2 linked regions of the Arabidopsis thaliana genome follow. The protein of the gene in region 2 interacts with the protein of the main gene of each other region in a pairwise test. Each region holds a gene or a part of one and is shown on either strand. Other genes may lie near its edges.

What was found.
Region 1: the proteins of PORA (region 2) and SEOa interact in binary tests that used the Arabidopsis thaliana proteins (3 or more experiments, as listed by UniProt).

The regions. Positions count from the first base shown.
Region 1 is NC_003074.8:243,401-252,744, reverse strand, and holds SEOa (sieve element occlusion protein), read right to left. Parts: upstream 5,554-9,344; 5' UTR 5,530-5,553; coding exon 4,909-5,529; intron 4,828-4,908; coding exon 4,747-4,827; intron 4,677-4,746; coding exon 4,207-4,676; intron 4,129-4,206; coding exon 4,019-4,128; intron 3,919-4,018; coding exon 3,776-3,918; intron 3,702-3,775; coding exon 3,237-3,701; intron 3,135-3,236; coding exon 2,484-3,134; 3' UTR 2,273-2,483; downstream 1-2,272. Other genes in the region: SEOR1 (sieve element occlusion amino-terminus protein), read right to left, coding at 281-376, 461-712; AT3G01660 (S-adenosyl-L-methionine-dependent methyltransferases superfamily protein), read right to left, coding at 6,313-6,618, 6,698-7,213; RGLG1 (RING domain ligase1), read right to left, coding at 7,683-7,820, 7,924-8,077, 8,178-8,305, 8,397-8,502, 8,617-8,696, 8,788-8,885, 8,994-9,107, 9,192-9,332. UniProt on the Arabidopsis thaliana protein: Scaffold protein required to form the phloem filament matrix in sieve elements.
Region 2 is NC_003076.8:21,988,859-21,996,703, forward strand, and holds PORA (protochlorophyllide oxidoreductase A), read right to left. Parts: upstream 3,957-7,845; 5' UTR 3,916-3,956; coding exon 3,862-3,915; intron 3,772-3,861; coding exon 3,661-3,771; exon of another isoform or gene 3,579-3,660; coding exon 3,041-3,578; intron 2,944-3,040; coding exon 2,585-2,943; intron 2,481-2,584; coding exon 2,325-2,480; 3' UTR 2,006-2,324; downstream 1-2,005. Other genes in the region: PTAC15 (plastid transcriptionally active 15), read left to right, coding at 58-1,325; AT5G54200 (Transducin/WD40 repeat-like superfamily protein), read right to left, coding at 4,707-5,266, 5,511-5,604, 5,715-5,797, 5,885-5,936, 6,028-6,185, 6,451-6,541, 6,779-7,845. UniProt on the Arabidopsis thaliana protein: Phototransformation of protochlorophyllide (Pchlide) to chlorophyllide (Chlide). PORA may also function as a photoprotectant during the transitory stage from dark to light.

The sequences.
Region 1 (9,344 bases), on a different chromosome or scaffold from region 2:
TTGCTGGTTACGTGTACAACAATCTTTAGAGAGTGTGGTTTATAAGAGCATCTATAACCACAAAGATTGATATCTAGGGGTAGGTGGAAACTGCGCAACCTAACCGAACCAAGATGGTCAACATATTTATATTTAGACTGAATATCCTGAAACTGAACCAAAACACACCGAATTTAGCCCGAACGAAACCTAATAACTTGGATGTTATTTTGGTGAGCCAAAAAAGTCTAAACAAAGAATCACTTGAATTGTGGCAAACAAAAAGTGAATGTAGCTATACCTCGCAGGCAACACGATCGATAGCATAGGAGACACTATCAAGAACGCTCATCATGCTTGACTGCATCAGTTTATCCTCAGTGGGCAACGGAAGCATCTGAAAAATCAAAGCAAGTACGTAAAGGAACATGATCATACGTACGTACTAAGAACGAAATTGATTGTGTGTAGGAATACTAACGGAGGCGTTGGTGTCTTCAGAGTCAAGAGTGGCACGATCGAGAATATCTTCAACGAGAGAGAGAAGGCCACGCACTTGGACTTCGCGAGCATCTGGGGAGTGAGTTTGTTGAATCAGCTTCAGCATCATGCTTTCGTCCGATGACATCGCAAGTCCCGTCGCCGGTATCATCTCCATGGACGGAGTTTTACCGGTCGTATTCTTGTGACCCGCCAGTTGCTGAGCGTGCTGGGACTTGATCAGCGACTCCATTCTTGGTTCAGTTTGCTTTTGTTAGAAGAAGAGGCTGTCTTTATTGGTTTGTAGTTTTGCTATGTGAGGTTAGCCTTAAATACTCGTTTCTCCCCCTTAGTTACGGTTGGAAATTGAGAATCGACTTCTTTGCTTCTGCAACAATTAAATTAAACATACAAAGAATATCAATTATATAATCTTGTTTCTTTTTTGCTTTTCTTTTTTTGGTGGCTTATTATAGAAGTTTTAATGAGATATATAGTTCCCGTCCACGTGAATATCGTTAGCACAATAAAGTATAGGCCTACTTTACACGAATATATATAGTAAATAAGAACTAAATCATAATGGGAAGAAAATGGTTCACTGAAATGTTGCGAGTTTTACTCGTAAATCTTTAGAGCTAGTACTCTTTCTTTATGTGTGTATTACTGAATTCAAATTCATATAAGACTAAAAGTGGATCAAAAACTACACTATTTTAATATTGCTACTAATGATATTAACTTCATTGCCAACTAGAAATTTAGATCCTAAAATATACAGATTTTTGTCATTTTCTTGGGAGGTTTGGAGACGAATTCCTCACTTTTCTCCATCATAATGATGATCACTGGACTACTAATTAATTCTCGCATTTTTATGTTACTAAAGGACATTAAAAGATAAGACACATTTTGTTTGCTACTTTGCTTATATTCTTATGTTACTTCACCTCATGCCATAGAATATTATAATTTATGGCTTCTGTCATTTACTTTAAGTTACTTTACATTGATTTTATCTCATGCATGCCTCAGAAAATAGCATCAAGAGTGAAGTGAACAAAAGGGTGTGAAGTTAAGATTCTTTGCTCTCTTTTGGGTAAAACTAAAGAATTTCTTAAGCTCAATGATATATCTTGGATAAGGCTAAAAAAAGCAATAAAAGAGTAACCAAGGATATATTTATCTAAAGACAATCACTTTTCTAAAAATAAGATTGTTATGCTTTGGGTTTATTCTATGCATGTTTTTTTTTTTTTCTATTAACTTTAGCATAACGTTTATAGGTAGGATTAAATTTGTTGTTTCTATACGCAACAAATTTTAATATCTCATCATTAGAAATACGTATAAGAGCTTCTTCGAAATCGAATCCGATATATGCAATATTTAAAAAGTATTTGATGGTTTGGAAGATTTAACTTTTACATTAACTACAGGCTAGGAACCGCTGATTTGTCGTTTAAAGTTGTATTCCCCCTTTGTAATACAGCAATCAGTCTCATGGTTTATTTTTTCAATAATGTAGACTAACACTTTTAACTTTCTATTAGATATATTACGATATGTGATTTGGACTCAAAAGACTGTTCATCTTTTGATTGATTGATCCATCCTTTTACTTTGCCTATATTTTACTAGCATTAAGTAATTTCATTTCAAAAGGCTAAATGTCAAAAGATATTACTGTCACATTAAAAAAATGTCACGGTCACTTGTGTTACTTGTGTATTAGTTCACTAGTGTTCTAGGAGCTTAAGGATCAAGAAATCAACAAAGAAGCAATGTTCAATCAGTTCATTGTTCTAGAAGCTTCCGATAAATAAACCTTTATTATTTCGAAATCTCAAACACACAAATTTTATTACAAAGACTCTCTGCTTTTAGTAGAGCAGAACAACAACAACAACATGAAGAGTAGAGAAACTCACAACAAGGAGGAAAAAAAAGACGCAAACTTATTTGGTTTTATAGGAACAAGTTGTTGGCTTCCAAATCAACTTGTTCCCCAGTATTATGGGATCTTACTCAAGGCAGCATTGGTACAAGTAATACTTTTCCATAGTCCTACGGCACTCGGTGCACTCAACCTCATTAGGTATAATTCCAGCAGTCTCAGGAAGCATGAACCTTGTGCAGTGATGTGGTGGGAGACGCATTAAGAGATGATCATTGAGCGCTGTAAGAAAACCCTTTGTGGGGATGTTGACTTCCCATTCGTTAAATTCAGCCAAACCCCTAGAAAACAAGTTCCCTTTGGCTCGAACCATCATGTCCGATGCTTTACTCACCAGTCCCCATCCATCTCCTTCTCCTCCATAACCTAACATAGCAACCACTTCTTGCAGAACAAGGTCCTTTTCCTCTTCTTTAAACCCTTCTCTCCCCTTGATTCCGTGGGCTTTCAGCATCCTCTGCTTCGATTCCCACATGCTCTCGACCCTGGTCCAGAAAAACCAGATCTGGAACAAGTCCGGCAAAGTATGGCTGAGATTTTCCTCCCGGATTGTGTTGATTATCGGCTGGATTCCATTCTTAGGGTTTCTTTTCCCGACATAAACCATCTCAAGTTGAATGTTTGCGGCCTTCGCTACATTACGCCAGAGACTCGTGAAGTTTTTGATCCATTGCATATCTTCTCCTCCGTAGAGACATATGTATTTTCCATCAACAAGCTGATAAAAAACATTTGAAACACACACAGATTTTCAGGTTACGTGTAACACAAGAGAAAGAAAAATTTATTAGTACTCTGTTTTTTTATTCAATCAAGAAACCTGGTTTAAGGAATGAGGATCAGTGCCATCAATCAAGAACTCAAGATTCCACTCCTGTTCGCTCCATAGATCACGTTCCCTTGCGGTGGTAAAAGGGTGAGCAAAGGGTTGCCAGATCCAGACCATAGGAAAGGCGTTGGTTGACATAACTTGACCTTTGGGATCAAGTGCAACGAGTATAGGCCTGTTCTTGAAACCCCACCATTCCCTCACAAACCTTATCGCGGCTCGTCTTAATTTCCGAGGCTCTCCAAGAACGTACCACCTCATGTTCATGTGAAGGGCCTCGAACTTGGCATCGTCAGCTTCTGTCCAGAAATCTTGAACTGGAACCCAAAGAATCTCGAATGACTGCTGCCATGCTTCTGTGTAGAGCGATTCCAGGATGTAGAGCTCTTTTTCGATGTTTTCTAGGTCTGATATCAGAAGCAGAACGTGCTTTTGGGTGAGCACGTTGATCCCGACCTGGTTAATGTTTGAAAACAGATCAGTCACTGACAAGAGACATATACAGATGCAGAGATATAAGGAGGTTTTACGCGTCTCTTTGAAACACCAGCTCCGTGGTAAAGAAAATCAATGGGTCTGAGAAGACGAAGTAGAGGAGGAACAACGTCGACGTGAATGATAGTAGTGAACGTCTGGATGAGTTCTTGATACTCTTCTTCGATTATACCTTCCTCTGTAACAGAGTAAAAAAAACAGAGCTTGAGAACAGAGGAATAAAAATACTCTTAAATATATAGAAACAGAGAGAGAGCTTAAAACGACGTCGTAGTTACCGATGGTCATTTTACTCTTCTTGAATTGTTCTAACAAGTAAGCATTGATCTTCCTAAGCCTTTCGCTATTCTCATGTATCTCCGAAACTTCCATAAACGACATGATTTGACTGAAAACATAGATGAGAAGCACATACTCAACTTACTCCTACTTGAAACCCTAGAAATCAGAAAGAAAAACAACTTACTCCTGCTTGAAACCACTGGCGCCACTGATGTGAGAAACACATATCAAAACACAGCGAACAATCCAGTAAACCGCAGTGGGGATATGGTCGGTAAACGCGGCTGTGATGTGGTTTGGCGGGAGTTGATAGATATCGATGATGGTAGTGGTGAGATCAACCATGTCTTGCATCAGAATTCGGGTCTTGTCGAGACGCTGGTGTAGAGCGTTCTGCCGGGAGAAGATGCTAGGGAGCTGTTTGATGAGAGCCAGAGATTTTGTGAGCTGATTTGTTGCGTGTGTCTCCGCGAGGAGGAGAAAAACGCCGTATTTCACGGCCAAAGCAGATAGGACAAGGACTAGCTTAGCATCCCAACGGTATTTGGAGACCAAAGACAGAACAGAGAACGTCGTCGTGTTGCGACTATCCAAATGAAGCCCTGATGTCATCATACCGTGAGACTCACCGCCATGGAGACACTTGCAGTCGATCTGTGTCAGAGACATTGATACTTAGATACTGACTCAAACGTTACTTAAAACAAGAAAGCTTCATATATACCTCGCAAGAGATTTGATCAATGAGATCCGCAAAAGTTTCAAAGGAGGTATGATCAGCGTAGTCCTTGAAGACGAGTGATGGCTGCAAAAAGTTTTAAATTTAATACGCTTGTAAAAATCAGTATTTGAAATGGGGATTAATTGTTGCACAAGTAAACTAAACCTTAGGAGCAGAGGAGTCAATGGATGGGACATGAGACTTGAAGATGTCATTAACAACGGAGAGAAGTGATGTGACATCAAAGAAGATCATGTCTGGACTGTGAGTCTTCAAGACTCTATCAGCCATGACTCGGTCATCAGAAAGTGAAAACATGGGTCTGCCATTTCTATGGAAAGCTTGTTTCTTTCCCGGACCAAATCTTCCACCGAGCGAATTGGGACCCAATGATTTCGGAACCATCGAATGTCGGATATTAGCATCAAGGATTTCCTCAGATGGATGAGGGTAATGTGCAGTCTTAGGGACAATGGAACCGAGATTCTCGCTATTATGATCCATCACCTTATTATGGTCCGCAGGAGCAGCAACATGGTGATCATCAGTATGACCCCCAAAGGGGTTGTCTTCGTGAGATCTCGGTGCTAAAGGACGCCTCTCGCCTGCGTTATCAGCCAGCCTCTGCTCGGCGGATCTTGGAATAAGGGAGACCCTTTTGAGAGGGTCGGCCGTTGGGAGGGTTTGTGAGTTCAATTGAAAGCGTTGGGCCATATTGGCGAGGTTGAGAGAAATATATGGTGAAGGATCTGATGTGTTGTGATGAATGATTGGGTTAGTATCCATGTGTGTGTATATATACTGGTGCAAAAGGTTAAATAAAGTGGCAACTTTGAATCAACTTCTTTGCTTCACCTTTGGTTCAATATCTGTTTTGGTGTCTTTTACACTTCCATACAGTTTTTCCCTTATCGATATTTCATAATTTTCATAATAATAAGAATTTCAGGTCTTGGATAATATTATTTCTAAATATGAAACGTCTCTAACGCAACTGCAACAGTCTAATACTAGTAGTGAGAAACATTTAATATTTCAAAGTTTATATACTGATGGTACAACGAGTTATCCTGATAAACATAACTAAATTTAGTATGTACATAGTAAAATAAGGGACTTCATAGCTATTTAAGAAGACACATGCATGGAACATAGATAGTGTACATATACAATGGATTTTTGTTTTAATATAAAAGACTTCCTTCTAATATATATACTGTTATTATAGAATCTAAACCATAAAGTAAGCAACTCGTGATACTCGTTTGAAGAGGGACAAGGCTACCTTGCTTGGATATTGTCCATGAATCTTCGAACAAAACGAATCACATACAATGCATGCTAATTGAAAACTATATATTAATTATATTTTCCAAAGTGTGTAATCTTTCTGTCAATTATTTCTTGTGTAATACAGGTTCTTCCAATTTGATTGAAATCTGTAATTTCATTCTCCACTTTTTAAAAATTTGTATTGTAAGTTTCTCCAGCTGGACTTGGTTGAGAGGTTTTTTCCTTTTCTTCAAAAACTTCCCATCCAATTCTTATACACTTTTTTTTATGTGCGTGTTACTCATAAATAGGTTTGAAATTTTTATAAGCAATGACAGCATTAAAAGGATCGGGCGTAGAAGCTAAACCGATAAAACCCATAAGCCGAGTCAAAACCGATATCTGAGCTCCAGGCTGTTGCCGGATGATCTCCGGCTGAGTAAACCCTTCAATAGACTGAAAGTACTGAACCACCAATTGGATCCGACTGTATTCGGTTCCATCACGCCAAACCCTAATTGCTTTCTCATAAAACATCCGGTTGCTAAAACTCACTATCAACACTCCTCCCGGTTTCAACACTCTATACACTTCTGCAAACACCTGCGGTTTATATAATAAAGACCCGGTTTAGGAATCTTCTTGACATAACCGAAATCGGTTTTGGTTTACGGTAACGTACCTTTTCGGGTTGTTGTAGATACTGTACACCAACAGAACACAAAACAGCGTCGAAATACTTGTCTTCGAACTCGAACTTCTGATCTTCATTAAGATCCTTGACGAAGAAGTAATCGAGTCTAGGGTTACGAGCAAGCTCCTGTGCGTTAAGACCATGCCCTACTACTTTCTCGTACTTCACTTCTTCTGGAAGATGGCTGACCCATGAGCTCATCAAGTCAAGTACAGTCGAACCGGGTCTCAACCGGTTTCTGTATAGTTCGGTTAAGGAGGATATGAAACTATCATCTACGTGGTTCACGAACCGTGGATATGAATAGAATTCACGGTCAGGATCGGCGTTTAGTTTGGTCCGACCTTCGTTGTTAAGTACTAACCTTTGGATCCTACCGGCCGAGGATGATGGTCGAGGATCGGTTTCATCGATTCGGTTTGATATGTTGGTGATTCTTGGTCGGAGAATTCTAGGTTTCAATTGAAATGGAGATTGTTGGAGGTTGAATCGAAGAGAATCCATAAGAAAAAAACTTTCGCTTTATCAAATTTCACAGAAGCGAAGAATCGTTTGTAGAAAAAGTGACAAAATTTATGTAAAAAGAAAGGAATGGATAACTGATGAGTGGTGTGATTATTTCTGCTCTTCCCTACTATTTATTTGGTATGTTTGCTTGTAGCCCAATTTCAGGCTAATGGGCTTCTATTGGGCTATTCATCCATTTATTTCTCATTGCTTATGTCGACAAAACAAATCAAAATTAAAGTGTTTAAGCAATCAACTTTGGTTTAATCGAATCTTGAAAAATCAAAGAAAGCCAACAGACAAATACATAATTCTTACAATCCAATCAAAGAAATTTTATGAACAAGATAAAGTTTAGGAATTCAATCAAAGAACAAAAGAACACTTTAATTTTCTACAGAAAGATCTGAAAATCTCTGGAAGAAATGGGATTTGGGCTGGTCAAAGCTGCATGTCAATGGTGTTGTTAGTAAAGCTTGATTCTGGTCTGGATCGGCGCACGACAAATAGGACACACTTTAAGATCTGGTCCGCATTCACAACAAGTCTGATGGCCACAACCAAACGCCATGTTTTTCGGGTTGCTCAGACATATCGGACATAGCTGTTCAAGGGGAAAATAACACAAACGAGTTTAACAACAAAAAGTTCCAAAGCTCTTATTTCACTTAACATTTCAAACAGATTCCTAAGTTTCTACTAATTACCTGAATATCGTCTGCACTACTCATTTGCTTGCTCTCAAATGGATAAGGAGGTACACTCGGTTCAAAATTCGGTATCCGGGAACTAGAGAATGATGATCCACTCTGCACCGGTGGCGGAAGTGGGATTCTCTGTGGGATATTTCCATTTCTTACCCTGCAAAAATGTAAGGGAAAGAGAAAGGTGAGCATTTTGTTTAACAATATAGCAGTTTCTCGCAGCTACACCTATCAGAGTTTTGATTTGGGTCCCTTACCCTAAAAGGTTAAGCTCTATCGTTGCTTTGTACTGTGGAGGGATCTCCATGAGAGCAGACAGCGCAAACTCTGTCTCCTTCCGAGACTGGTCTTTGTTCTTTGACATGATCTCTGTGAAGTTCACAAACTAGAAACAGAGCAAACATGTTAGAAAAATGGTTCCAAACTGAAGAAAAGAAGCAATCTTCAATGTCATGATATGAAAAAAAGAAGCTTACCTGGAAGTTATCGAAAGCTCGGGCAGGTATGTTATCATCAAATTCCTGCATCATGTCCCATGGTCCATCCCCGACCCCAACTAAGACTATTGACAAAGGAAGGGTACTGTAATAGAGAGGATGAAACTGATTACATACCATAACACTTTATAACATTACACTCAAAGTAAAGAACTTTAAAATGGAAGAAACATTAGTCAAAAGATTGAAATATTCGCACCTTGCTTTCACAATTGCATCTACTGTCTTCTGTTCTTGCGGACTTAGCCGCCCGTGTTCGGTATCGACACTTCTTGTGACCTGAAACAACAAAATGGGTCCACTTTGATATCCCTAGACACAAAACCAGAAGATCATACACAGCTTAGGCAGTCAAAATATTAATCAGTACCTGGCCATCAGCTATAATCACTAACACATGATATTGGCCACTACTCTGCTCAACCACTGTCATTGCCATTTCAATGATCGGGGCAAAAGAAGTTGGTCCTGAAATACATAAGTTCGCAGGAAAAAAAAACACAGTTTTAAGTTTATAACTTGCGTTTCACAAGGAGATATAGAATTGGCCAGTGCAGGTCAGAGCAGGAAATAAACCTGCGAGCTTAAGCTGAGGTACAATTTCTCTATAACGAGCCAATACTTCCTCAAATCCATTACAGAATCTTCCCTCTGGATAGAAACTAAACACGTCTTGATCATGAGTTGATGCTGCAAAGAGATGAAAGCAAGTCAATGATGATCCGATTGATATACATTCTTATGAGAATCGAGAAGAGAGAAAACAGTGCATACCGTCTCCAAAACCATAACAAGGAATTAAGTTATCCTCGTCAAAGGCGGCTAAGGTTCTTCCAATGATAGTAATTGCTTGCTCGTATGGATTCGGGGTATTGCTCAAGTGATGCAAGCTTTTCCTATTGAAGGACTTGGCCCCTGCAGTACCAA
Region 2 (7,845 bases):
ATGCAAACACTTGTGTGCGTTAATGCAAACACTAAGTATCTCTCTTTTGCTTTGCAGAATCTCTGTTTTCGTTATTCCGAGATATTGGGTTTATAGAAGAAGAAACTGAGATGATTTTAGCGAAGAACCCAGATATAAAGTCGACATCTTTGGATAAAATCGGTGCTCGTGTTGCTTCTCTTCAGTCTCTGAAAATCAATGGCTTCCCGCTTCAGGGTTTGATAGCTAAGTGCCCTAATTTATTGACTTCAGAAGAATTTGATCTCGTTATTAGTTTCTTAGTTGATGAACTTGAAGGAAGGCTTGATCCTGAATTAGTTGAGCGCTTACTCTCTGTGGTAGACACATCTATCTTGCTTAGTTTTAATCAGAAGGTGAGATTGCTTCTCCTCCATGGGATACCTAAAGAAAAGATCTCTCATGTATTGAACAAAGTGTACCTAAATAAATTGCTGTATCAGAAATCAGTTGAAGATATTGAGAGATTGATTAGTTTCTTGGAACCTTTTGGTGGAATTGGTATAATTGCTAGGCGGCCAGTGATTCTCAATAGTGACTTGGATAGTCAGTTGATTCCTAGGGTTGATTTCATTAGGAATCTAAGCGGGGAAGACGATTTCGCTACTGGAACGGTGCTACGTAGACTTCCTGCCATATTGAGTTATAGTGTTGAGCATATGAACGGCCAAGTAGAGTTTCTCAAGTCTTTTGCTGGCTTGACGAGTGAGCAAGTGTTTAAGATTGTTCATGTGTTCCCTAATGTTATCAGCACTAGTAAAGAGAGGAAACTGCGCCCGAGGATAGAGTTTCTGAAGGAATGCGGCTTTGATTCCCCCGGCATGTTCAAATTCTTGAGTAAAGCACCATTGATTTTAGCTCTATCCGAAAATAATCTCTCGCACAAACTCGGTTTTCTGGTGAAGATTGGATATAAGCATAGAACAAAGGAACTGGCCTTTGCGATGGGAGCTGTGACCAGAACAAGCTCTGACAATATGCAGAGGGTTATTGGACTGTACTTGAGTTATGGTCTTTCATTCGAAGACATTCTAGCAATGAGCACAAAACATCCTCAAGTCCTGCAGTATAATTATACTTCTTTAGAGGAAAAACTGGAGTATTTGATCGAGTACATGGGTCGTGAAGTCGAAGAACTTCTTGCATTCCCTGCATTTCTTGGATACAAGCTTGATAGCAGGATCAAGCATCGGTATGAAGAAAAGTTGAAGAGCAGAGGTGAGAACATGTCTCTTAACAAGCTTTTGACAGTATCAGCTGAAAGATTCTCTAAGGCGGCTGATAATATCGAAATGATTTGTTTATGACCAAGTTTGAGTTCATTGAGAACTTACATCAATAGTTTTTATCACAAATTCTCACTTCGATATCAACAGTAATACTCTAACTGTCTTGATTTTATAGAGTTAAGCTTTTCATTATGTAAAACACTTACAAACTAAGTAGAGAACATGTCGGTCAGAAAAACGAGAATATTGCAAAACTGGAGCACTAAAAAGGATCCGAGTAGGGACTATTCAAAGCAAACTCTACCCTGCCTGGATTTTATTTGGAGCAAATAATATAAGTTTGGGCTTTTCGTAAATATAAGTTAAGTGGGCGTTGGCCCGTATATCGCCAAATCGAGTTATGTCATGTGCTCCGTAAAAGTCCCACATCGCTTGCCTAGAAACTTAACTTCTTGAATATATAAGACTGTGAGAGCGTTGATGGTCACGACCTTACTTGAACAGGATCTGTTCTATAGGCTCGTACCTCTGTTTCCTTGATTTCTCAAGAGACAGGCCTTTTACCCTGGTTGATGAACCATGACCGTGCGGCTAGAGCGTGATTGACGGCCACGATCGTCTTCGGACGCATCCGGTGCTGTAGAGGATCGTTACTCGGCTCGGTTCTACCTTGCCGGGGTGGTCGCACGGCGGTCTGACAGGTCCCTTTCCTTCTTTTTTTTTTTTTCCTTTCTCCGGTTTTTTTTGCTCTGTTTTGAGGTCTATTGAACACTCGCTAAATTAAAAATAAAAACATATATGATTGTAGGTGATATTAGAGTCTCTTTATTTCTAATCTTTTTGTTATAAAGCTGTATGACTCTGCTTCTCCTTGTAGTTTACAATCTCTGTTTCATGTTCTTTGACAAAAAAAACTTGAAAAGTGGAATTATTTGTTTCATTACAGATAGAATCAGCCAAAACACAACTACTAAATCAAAGTTGTTACAGGCTTTATTAATGTCTCCTTTTTTGTTTGTTTCTCATCTTAAGCCAAACCAAAGGTTGAAACACCGAGGAAAAATCTCATATCAAATTTTAGGCCAAGCCTACGAGCTTCTCGCTGACTTCCCAAACTCTACGAGCCTTCTCGACATCGCTAGCTTCTTGAGACAGCTGATTCTCAAATGAAGCCGAGGTCTTGTTCCAGCTCCAATACACTCCCGACTTCGTCAAGCTTGGATCAGCCACCACCTTCAACAAATCAATACATAGGTTGAGTACATAGCAAGAATAATAAACTGAAAGAATGGTTTCTTGCGTCACAAACAACGTTAGGTTTTGGTTAATTTTCTAACCTGAGCAAGTCTTTTCCCAGCCTCTGACTCGGAGACGTAACCTTTTGTGATGTACTTCTGGAAAGGAGGGAAGAGGGTACGGAAAAGAGGAATATGCTCTCTGAACAAACCAGTCGTTGCAATACAACCGGGGTAAAGGGAAGCAAAAGTTATGCCGGTGTCTTCATGGAAACGCCTATGAAACTCCTGCATTGTCAACATGTTGCAGACTTTGCTATCTTTATACGCCTTTGCGCCAACAAAATCTCCTCCATCTATCATCGCCGAGCTGTTTAGCCCGTTCAACCCGCCTGCTAGTCCCCTCAAATCACCAAGATTAGCCTTTGGAGGTACATTACCAGCCAATGTATTAGTGTTTCCTGCTCAATAAGAAACAAAACGAATAAGATTTCAGATTTAGGGTTTAGAGTAAGTAGTAAGTACATAAAGCATTCTTCTTATGAGGAGACTACAGACCGGTTATGGATCCAACAATGATGAGACGTTTTGATGGATAATCGGAGTTCTTCAAGTCATCAATCAACAATCTTGAAAGAAGAAAGTGGCCCAAATGGTTTATCCCAACGCTAAGCTCAAACCCTTCAGCAGTGAAAGTAGGTTGATTAGCCGTTGGCTGATAGACTGCGGCATTGCAGACCAACACATCGAGAGGCATCTCAGCTCGCCTGAAGTTATCAACAAACTGCCTCACGCTGTCCAAAGACGCCAAGTCCAAATGCATCACAGTGTAGCTGTCCTTAGGCATCCCTGCAGATTGAGCGGCTCTCTCAGCCTTGAGGAAGTCTCTGCACGCCATTATCACGTGCCATTTACCTGTCTCGGCTAATGCCTTTGCCGTTGCTAAACCTAGCCCTGAAGAAGCTCCCGTGACAACCACGTTTCCTTTTCTAAGTGTTTTCTTGCGGTCTAAGGAAGATTTTGTGACTGATGGAGTTGAAGTCGCGATTGCTTGAGCTCGAATAATCGCTTTATTATTCCTCAAGCTCTGTTCCCTCTACAAAGTAGAAGCATTTCAATTGATTAGATTATTACATCATTTTCCAAGAAAAATACTCATAAAAGATTGTGTTTGGTACCTTGCATCTCAATGAGGAAGAGACAAAGTCAGCTTTGCTTTGCTCCGAAAGTGAAACACCGAACAGACTAGACTCTTTGAATGATGATGATGCTGAAGCATTTAATTTTCCCTGCAACCAAAACATGCGAATTAATCTCCGAGACAGGTCATAAACAAAAAGGAAACGATTACTAAAACAAAGAAAGAGATAATAAAATACATCTTTGCGGACAGAGAAAGCAGAGGAGACCAAAGAAGCAGCTTGAAGGGCCATTGTTTCGTTTAAGACTTAAAGAGTGTAATGTGAATGTTATGCAAATGTCTGTGCTTGCGTGAGTTTATATAGAAGTTGAGACAAGAGAAAGGTGGTCCCCTCCCATATGTGTTTCCTAGGATATGTGTGGATAAGATTATCTTTAGGGAAAGTTTTTGTCAGTTTCTTTTCTTAAAGCCAATGATAATTCGAGAATTAGATTTTCTGTCAGTAGATATTTTAATGTATAATTTCATGGGACTCCATCTCTTTGTGTATGGGAGGATTAACAGAGAGCTAGAGCCCTAGAGGTATGAAACAAAATTATACTCTGACTTGTTATGGACACTCTGATCTAAAGATAAAACTGTTCATTGAAATGATGAATTGACAAAAATACCCAATTATTTTACATGTAAAGATAAACCTAAAGACAATTACAAAATGTGTATACAAAAGTTTACCATATATTCTCTCCTTGAAGAGTTATAATATCAGAGACAAATTCTACAAACTTCAAGTTGAATAGCACAGACTTTCATCGAAGCAAACTATATTGGTATATGAAGTTTCTTTTTCTGCCTATTTGAATCTTTCTTAAAAATAACATTATATATATTTGCTAGAGATTTGAATTTTAGAGATAACAAATCAGATAAATAAAAGAAGCGTGGTAAAAAAAAAAAACGAGAGAAGTCAGTGGATGAACCAAACCTTCTCTCAATCTATACACTTTTGACAGGAGATGGTTTTACTAAGGGAAAATTTCACTTTGCCTTAGGATTTTGATATTGTAAAACCTTCTCCTTGCATCATAGACGAACTGGAAATCCAAAATTCTGAAATATTCTGATTTCGCCTCGTAGACTGCCAGTCACAATCACCATAGACCACGCCGAGGCACTCGGTTTTGTGTTAACCTGTATGTTAGACATGTCCACGCTCACACGAGGGCTTGTTCTGGCTCGGTTTTTTGCAGCCAGCAAGAGTTTTTCTTCAGGCCATGTTGCTGAGACTCTATCGAAGAAGTATCGGTTTGTGGCGCTTGAAATGATACCGTTGGTGACGGTTTTGTTGTTGGTTGGATCGTTGACAGGTGTCGGAGGGTTATTATTGGCTGTGAAGGATGACTGTTCGGGGCTGTTGTTAGTGTGGTTGTTACTGATTTTGCCAGGCCAAGGTGCAGCCACAGAGACGTCACGACAATAAAAGTTTTCGTATGAGTTTGTGACTGTGACACGTTTGCTTCTTCCTGCTCGAGAGTCTGAGTCGTAGTTCCATACATACACATTAGAGTCTTCGCTTGCTGATACTAGGAATTTCCCGTTTGATGTAAGTGAAGCCGAGATTTGGCTATTCGTGTTGCGAAATCCTGCGAACCCGAAAATTTTCTAAAACTCAGAAAAACACACATTACTTGGCAAGAACGTTGAGCTTATTTTACTCCAACACCAGATCAAGAAAAAGCGAAAGAACATCATGTTCATGAAATGTGGGACTCATGTGTATCTTAGATGACGATAGAGCGAGAAATTCACCTCCATGAACAATAAAGTTATTCCTAACTCCCGAGTTCTAAGAATGGAGAAGAGAGTTTTAAGCTTAGTATTGTTTACCTTTAAACTTGTGAACAAGGTCAACACCATCAACAACACGCGTACGTGAATCTGCAGATGTGACGAGAACTTCCGATGAACTTCCTGCCACAAACTGTGAAAGTTTCACGAGAATAGTCAGATAAACCAGTACAGCATCCAAAACAAAATTGTAGTATAAATGAAAAGATGAGAACAGAACGGTGTAAGTTGTTTTAGCTTTACCTGAAAACCAGTGATTTTCTTGTGATGGGTTTTCTTTTTCCTGTTCTTCAGATTGATTTCGCGTCTCTGCTGCAGTTTGTTATCTGAATAAACAAAAAAGATAATAAGTTCAAAAGACGAGATGGAGAAACAACTCAAGTTTCAGATGAGTAAGTTCTCAGCTTATGTACCATGTGTGTTGTATAAGCAGCATGTTCCTTTGTATGAACCAACCAATGCACCCTTTACAAACCAAGAGAGCTTTATTAAGGTACTGCGTGATTTAGTTTTACCCAAAGTCACTTCAATGTAAGAAAAACTTTTAATGGCATACCTGTCCATCCGGTGTGTAGCAAGCAGCTGTGACCATCTCATGAAGATCATTCCAATCAACAACTTGATGATCAGGAATACTCCATATCCGAACTTTTGCATCCAATGATCCGCTGATGAAGTAATTGTCATCCACGGGATTAAACTGGATGCAAGTCACTGTATCGAGGAAACAGAAAACTAGATGAGAGAAAATTTTATGTTACATAACCAACATAGAAATTCTTGTGTTTCAGGGATTTATTTACAAGTGGAAGAAGCTTGATTCATACCACATTATATTGACATATGAATCTTTCCAGAACAGAGTTGACACCTAAAATGACTTAATATTCTTCTAACAATATATGCTTAGTTTCATAAAGACTAAGAAGAAAAGTAAATCATGATCACTGGTGGGGAATAGGATGGTATATCCACTCACCGTAGTCACTATGTGAGAAGACTTTCAAACATGTCTTGCTAGATAAGTCCCATAGACGAACAGTCTTATCCATGGAAGAGGAAAGCAGGTGCTGGAAACAAAAAAATGAAGTGCAAAGTCTTGAGAATTCAAGATTTTATCTGATTAAGAAAGACGAAGCAGATTCTCACATAACAAACTTAGAAAACCTAAACTTAGCACTAGTAAGATGAGCAAGGTTCGCATGAAAATTTTTGCTCCACAAAATAAAGTTACCAGTTTGAAAACAAACTTCATGCTTTAAATAAGAATTTGTAGCGAAATGAGATGATCGGGAACTCGTACCCACCTGAGATTTTGACCACGAAAGATCAAGTACGTCATCCAAATGCCCTACAAATGAACACACGGGTTTCTCTGAAAGACCAAAGACTGCCTCTGGAACAAGAACATTGTCCAAGCTCACTGATTTTCGGCTAAAAGATGTTCTTCCTCTTCTCTTTGGAGACATTGAAACGGGTTCGGGTGATCCATTTGCTAAAAGAAACAAATTTATACTTCCATCTTCTTGTTTATCCATCGACAAGAGTTCCCCTTTTCTTTCTGACTCAACAACCTTCCAAATCTGAATAACACAATCCTCACCAGCACTAGCAAGATACCTCCCATCCAAACTAAACTTAATACTCCATATCGATCCTTTATGAGCTTGAATCTCTTGACTCTTGAAAAGTGCAGTAAGCTCTTTACACGACTTCCCATACTGCCTAACCTTAACTCTCTCAGGGTCATGAAAAGACATATCTCGACTATCATCAGTTGCAGAGCTAAACCTCTGACCACCTCTCTCAGACGGTGAATCCCTATCATCGGTGCTCCGTCGCTCTTTATACCCAGTCACACTACTAGCAACATTCTTAATACTCTTTAACCAACTCCCTCTCCTTCTATGTTTAGTCACCCTGCTTCCACTAACATTAGTATCCAAATCCACAGAGTCTTTACAAACATCTTCAACATTTTGCCTCCTCATCAACTCAAGCACAATCGGTGACGTACCAACACAAATCTCAAACTCCTCCAGAGTCAATTGCCGATCAGTACCTACTTCCTTCAACCTCTCCAACATCCCATCTTCTCGAACTTCATTCACCACAAACTCTCTCCCAGTATCTAAATTCCTAATAGTACACATTTGCTCCTCTAAAACAACATCTCTACCATTCTCTTTCTCTACAATGTCCCTAAGAGATCTTTCCATTGGCTCTTTGCTTATAAAATCAACACCATCGTTTCGCATACGAGATCCAGTATACTCTCGATCGACATTGTCAGTACCTGATACATCTGATCTCAACACACATTTACCATGATGATTCGAAGTCAAAACATCAGAAGGAACCGATCTAGAGAAAT